2 linked regions of the Nothobranchius furzeri genome follow. The protein of the gene in region 1 binds, or shares a complex with, the protein of each later gene. Links are inferred from orthologs where the notes say so. Each region holds a gene or a part of one and is shown on either strand. Other genes may lie near its edges.

Region 1 (4,269 bases):
TTTAAGACTTGTTGGATTTGATCTGTCAGGTTCCCTCCAGGCACCAAATTCACCTGCCTGAGACTGCAGCTACATCATTCCATCATCTCAGCTTTGAATTCCACTGGAATGATCCTTAGAACTAAAATCCACTGTTGGATGTTTAAACACAAGTTCTAAAGATCAAACACATGTCTCCACAGTGATGGCTCCTACCTGTCATGAAACTTTTAACCAATAAGTCACCCTGTTCCAAACAGAAATAAAGCTTATTTCCACCAAAGTTATAAACAAGTTAATGAATAAAATGAGTAAAATATGATGAGGGGGAAGCCTACAGCCCCCCCTTCTGGAGCTTCCTGAACTGTTCCCGTCTCTGCGGTGCTGTCAGGGTGTCACAGCTCTGCAGGAGATTGGAGATGATCAGAGTCTGCTGGATGGTGGATGCTCGGACCCAAATCCGACCGTTCATTCCCACCACCAGCTCACAGGGGAACAGCTGTTCCAGGTCAGACCGGATGTCACTTTGGGGGGCCAGCAGCCTGTTAGGGAGGGAGAAACGAGAGCACGACCAGAGCTGTTACCATGTCAGAACTCAATGTTGGGTCTTTGTAACAGATTAACTTTGTCCTGTTGATAATCACTCACAGATACATGCAGGAGTTAAGAGGCTCTTGTTCTGATTTAGAACAGCTGCAAGACACTCACAGAAGCTGTTCTGTCAGAGGATTCTTTATTACCCAACACTGGACTTATGAGTCAGAATAGGCCACTCCCTCTGGCACATATGGTTCAATTAAAAATGGAACTAAAGACAAACTGACCCAGTTCTCAGACAATGACCTCTGCTTCAGTTTCAGACAAATTCTCTTTAAATAACCTGGGTCTTGTTCCAGAACCATCAGGACTAAATATGTGGTTCTGTGAGAACTTCACACCTTTGCAAGTAAATTGATGTCTGTAGATGAAACCCAACTGTAACAGAACCCGGCCTTTGACCCAGTCCTGATACTCATCCAGAAGCTCCTGCTGGTTCAGAGTTTGTCAGTCAGAGAATGAAAATGTTGGGTAATGTTACCTTCTAACGAGGCCCAGAGAGACTTTGAGGAGCAGACCACCTCCTCCGAAAACACCCATCCCGTTGGCCCGGCCCGATCCGTCGATACACACCAGCTCTGGTTCCATGTCTTTATTGGCTACAGTGAACTGAGCGAACACCAGGTCTCCAACCTGCACAGGGAACACACAGAGGGCAATACATAAGCTGATCTGGTCCAATAAGGACAGGGCACCAAAGTACTGATAGTCCAGAGGGACCCAAAAGGTCCTGAGCCATCAGACATGCAGCATTCAAACACACCATGTAGGCACAAATCAGTCAGGTGAGAAAATGAGTCTCAAAAGGATTTTTGCACTTGTAAACTGATCTGTGTGTAATGTAGTTTTGTCCGTGTGTACTAAGTGATTTGTGTGTGTGTGTTTATTTAATGATCTGTATGTGTAGGAACTGAAGTTACACACGAAAATGTAAACAAGTTACAAATCAAGAGTTATACATGCTTAGATCTATCTACACACACACACATCTAGATACACACACACATCAAGATACACACAGACACAGATTTTTTTGAGACTTTTTTTCTTCCCATAAGACACCCAGCATGACTAAACGATCAGGTGTACTTCCTGTTGGTCCCGACACGTTCCATACTGGGTCAGCGTAAAAACAATACATCAGAACTCTTCTTTCAATCCTCTACAGTGATCATATGTGTGTCTGTGTGTTGCATGCTTGTGATTTTGGGGTCACAAGGGACACAGAACTCCTAAAAACAGCTGACGGGTCCCCCAAATCTGGACTCTAAACATGACTCACTTGTTTCAAGTAGAAAAAAACTGTCCCCTGAGTCTCACCTGGACATTGGGTCTGTTCCTCTTTGTAGCTCCTTCAAAGGCCAGATAGGACAAAGATGCCTGCTCACTGCCTCCAACGTCCACCTTAAAGATGTCCCCAGACTTGGATGTCACAATACCAATGACCGTCTCTGCTTTGGCTGGGACATACTGAGGACAGAAGTTTCAGGTGGTGAGTGGATAGAACATGCTGCTTGTGCCAACGTGACCAGTTTACCTTTCCATAATCGTTACCGGATGAAACAGTATAAAACACCACTGCAACATAAACCTAACTTCACCCTAGTTTAGTTTTGTAGAAAGTTTCAAACTTTGACTTCCTTCAGACTTCCGGTACATTAACTTTTTAATTTTATATACGATCACAACAAAGTGTATAGAACAATAAAAATAACCATTAACAAGGAAACGAATATTCAACAGATTTGAATATGAAATAGATAATAAATGATAAACTTTAGGGTATAAAAAAGTTAACACATCGCAAATGTATGGATAGGGGGACAAATAACTAGAAACACATGTAATTTCCGCCGGGTTTTTCATCAGTGAGAACTCTGAACCTTGTCTATTAGCTCTCACGGTTCTGTTCTGACAGGTTCGGCCGCGAGTCCAGTCTGGACCGGTCGGTACCCACCCTCCACTGCTGTGAGTCCATCCAAAACGTGTGCGGTGGTTTGTGCCTCAACACGCCGCTCTTGCTCACCACCAGCCGGTTTCCGCTCTGCCGCAGCCCCGGTCCACACACCGGCCGCTCTGGCTTCACATTGTCTGTTAGAAAAATTGTGTCCTCAGACTCGAAGACAAATTCATCTCCAGGTAAAAGAACTTCACCGATTTTCTCCTTCAGACTTGAAAACATACCGCTAGCTAGAAGAAGTCTGGACCTCTTGGTTCTGTTCTGGTTCCGACTCAGAGCGCCCCCTGCTGCTCAGGAGGAGATAGACCTCCGGCTCAGCTCGCTCCCTGCTGCTCAAGAAGAGAACTAGACCAAACTCTTGCTTTGCAATAAAAAATATAAATAATATATTTATTTAGTCTGGCTAATTTCTGAATACTGAAGGAGATCCTTCTGGAGCTTTGCCGTGATTTGGGACCCTTTATGGAGCGGCAGACAAACCGCATGAATCTGATTCCAGTCCACACTGAATCTTTTAAAACTATAGAAGCGACTGACCCCAGAACCTCCTCAGCGTTTTTATCAGTAAGGGCATGTCTAAGTGGGCTATTGACACAAAATTTGCTCCAGATGTTGCTATAAACCCATATATGGAATTCACACAAAGAAATCAGGAAGTACAAGGTGAGTTATAATAAATAAAGTGAAATGACAGGGAACCGGTCACTCTGAATTTTTCATGCAGGCTGAACATGAAAACAGTCTTCTACACCTATCTCCTGCATTAGCTTCTGATAGAAAATAGACTGTGAAATGCTAGGATTTGAAAATCCTCACATATCTATGTCACAGTGTGAACTGGCCGAGCCTATCTTTGCTCGTGCATGCACAGGATGGCTTTTTTAACTTTTTTACAGTGAGGAGAGAGAACGGAGAGTGTCTTGGTGATAGTCACTTTGTAACATGGCTGAACATGTTCTGTTAGCCAGTCAGAAGAGAGGTGCGTGTCAGTGGCGTGTCCAGATCTTTTAAAATGGGGTGGCCTAGGTGATGCACTACTTTGTGCATGGGTGGCACCAATGGTTATGCTTTTTTACATTTTTTTTACCCCAAGCCTTTTGTGGACAATGAAAAGCCTATTTAAAGGGAATTCAGTGTGGTGGCACCTGGGGTGGCCAATCAGATTCCAAGGGTGGCATTTGCTACCCCAGGCTACTCCCTGGACACGCCCCTGGTGCGTGCATATTTTTAATAATATGAGTATTCCTGCTGTTTTCAGCCCACCTCAATGATTAAAAAGTTGGACATGTCTCCTTCACCCTCCATCCAGAAAGCAGCTAAGTGTTATCTTAGATGTTTCCATGTTGTTAACTAGGTACTTTTAGGATTTAAAAAGTCAAGAAGGGGGTCTGAATAGCTGTTAGAAATAGCAACAAAGTTGCTAAGTGGGCAACACTGTGGGGGTGAACACTTGATTTGCAACTCGGAGCAGTGCAAGAGGAAGGAGCAAATAATCGGCTTGTTTTGTTTTCATAATCGTTCAAAACTTAAGTCATAATTGGGAATAAAATTTGATTAAATGTGCAGCCCTAGTAGAGATTTAAGAACAGGGAGTGATGTGTCATGTTTTGAGGGATGTGTCTAACCCAAGACATGCAGAATCAACCATGAACACAGAATGATAGAAAAAATAAGATTTATTTTGGATAAATGATAATTAAAAGTACACTGGGAATTCCAGTGGTCAGGAGCTG
Region 2 (2,349 bases), on another chromosome or scaffold:
GCAGAGGGCGACAACGTCCTCTGCTGCCCGCGGATAAACGACGTAGGAAGTGACGCCACCATCGGCGTCAGCTCTGACAAAGTTTGCAGCCGCAAACGAAACGCTGCAGGTAAATAAAACCTTTCTGTTTTTAAAAGAACGGAAAGATGGAACGTTTTAGTAAGGATGCTACGCAACGTTTGATCAACGAGACCCCCGGTCCAGAAAAGAGAACCCAGTTCTGTTTTCATAGCCGACTACAAATAACTGGCTTTGTCATACGAAGGCGGAGGACATCTTGTTCTCGTCAGATGATTCAGCTCCACTGTGCCTGCACGTCTTCAACATCCTACAGAAACAAACCTTGTTGCGTCGTGGGACAAATAAAAGATTCCTGTCGCTCTGGTTTCCATCCACCCTAACCCGAAGGCGTTTCCATCGAGTCAGTCAGACGGAGGTTCGGTCACTCTCAAGTGTGAATATTTGAATTAAATCAATAAATCCTAATGAATGCACTTAAATGAAAAGATTTTCCTCTCTTTTTATTTGAAAATAATTAATAAAAACTGAATATTTATGCTTTCTATTAAAAGAAGACTTGGAAGGGGGGGGGGGAATCAGAGGTTTTTGGAGTAGCGCCGTCTCACGGAGTCTCTGTAGAACTGGAAGACCTTCTCCGATGCTTTCTGGCTGACGGCTACACATTCCTGCAGCTGTGGACGAACGGAAAGACAAACGACGGAGTCAGAGGAACGAACAGGAAGCCGTAAAGGAATTAGAAACACAAACACACACAGCCCGCTTCATCGCTCACCTCCTGGACCGAAAATGAACCTTTGGTCGATGACATCATCACTCTTCGTTCTGTGCTGTCGATGGCGAAAGTCATCAACGCTCGACTTTCCTTACGGAAGAAAAAACAAAAGGTCAGCATTAGCCTGCGCTGTTACCATTAGCAACCAGCTGGAGGCCCAGAACTACCAAATGAGCTGTTTGAGTCACACTAAACACTTTGTGTATTTCCTAAAATATCTTAAAGAGCAAGTCAACCCCTACCAGAATCTAACTCCACTCCCACTTCATGTTTGAAAAATGCAACAAATGCTGTTGCCTGGCAGACCAAGGGGGCGGAGCTGCTAACAAATACACACACACAGACATTGTGACATCATAATCTACCAGTTTACATCATAGCATACCTCTTAGCCAATAGTGGTGGAAGATTTAAATTAGAATACAATGCAGAGTTTTTACCTGACAACGGCACAACACTGCCAGTTTTAGGCAGAATATTTAAATTTTAACTAAGATGCACTGAAGTGACAAATTATTGACGGCACGTGTCTGCAGCACGATTAGACACTCGTTTCTTTAGTTTATCAGCAAAAAAAAAGGTTATTTGGGGTGACTTGCTCTTTAAAGAGCAAGTCACCCCCAAATCAGCTTGTTTTTCTGATAAACTATATAAACGCGTGTCTAATCGTGCTGCAGACACGTGTCATCAACAGTTTTGCACTTTTATGCATTTTAGTAAAAATTGAAATATTCTGTCTAAAACTGTCAGTGTTGTGCCGTTGTCAGGTAAAAACTCTGCACTGCAGTTGAATTTAAATCTGCCGTCGCTATTGGCTAAGAGGTACCCTGGAACGTTAGCTGGTACCATATGATGTCACAATGTCGTTGTGAGCCTGTGTGTGTGTATGTTTTGTATGGTAGGGGGTGACTTGCTCTTTAACTTGTTTGTGATTTATCCTCGTTATTGTTGCTTGGATGCTCTCTTTTCGGTCTCCAGTCGGTCACAACGTGCCTTCTCAGGTCTTTTCTCAGGTTCCTCCCAAAGTTGTCTCACATTTCAAACAGAAACTAAACAGAATCCTTCCAGGACACCCACAAAGACCCAGAGACCCAGGTGCGAAGCCCTGCGACTCAGGAGGAAGCTAAGAACCTCTCGCAAACATTTTGAGATATTTTGGAAACTCCCTGGGAAATGTAGTCGTGGCCCAGAGAGAAACTCTGCAGGTGAAGTAAGTAAAGGTCAGCACCCACAGGTTTTTAACCACGGATGGATGTGTGGTCTGCTGAAATGATGTCGACTGCACCGGGGTCGTCTGTGCCGAATTCCTGGGAGCTGTTTTTCTACAGGCTCGTCTTCATCAGAGCTTCGCATCAATTAAAACCTGAAAAGAACTAAAGGAGTCTCAGTATTTGCTTCAAATTCCTTTCAGATTTACTTTCTCCTGAGCTGCTGTGGGATCTGCGATGATGTCACCGTCCGCACCGATGGCGCACGTCACTCCACAGAAAAGACAGCTCATGGACAAGCCTGCATCCATCAGAGCCATGCAGGCCGCATTCAGGCAGCAGGACAGG

Evidence for each region. Proteins that work in one complex are often made in the same cells at the same time.
Region 2: exosc3 (region 1) and exosc5 share a complex: the UniProt entries of both Homo sapiens proteins name them as parts of the RNA exosome core complex. The link is inferred for Nothobranchius furzeri from reciprocal best matches to the Homo sapiens genes EXOSC3 and EXOSC5.

The regions. Positions count from the first base shown.
Region 1 is NC_091741.1:64,434,336-64,438,604, reverse strand, and holds the start of exosc3 (exosome complex component RRP40), read right to left. Parts: upstream 2,801-4,269; 5' UTR 2,759-2,800; coding exon 2,534-2,758; intron 2,047-2,533; coding exon 1,897-2,046; intron 1,210-1,896; coding exon 1,058-1,209; intron 522-1,057; coding exon 314-521; 3' UTR 1-313. UniProt on the Homo sapiens protein: Non-catalytic component of the RNA exosome complex which has 3'->5' exoribonuclease activity and participates in a multitude of cellular RNA processing and degradation events.
Region 2 is NC_091753.1:58,582,384-58,584,732, reverse strand, and holds the end of exosc5 (exosome complex component RRP46), read right to left. Parts: coding exon 2,211-2,349; intron 884-2,210; coding exon 794-883; intron 693-793; coding exon 597-692; 3' UTR 501-596; downstream 1-500. UniProt on the Homo sapiens protein: Non-catalytic component of the RNA exosome complex which has 3'->5' exoribonuclease activity and participates in a multitude of cellular RNA processing and degradation events.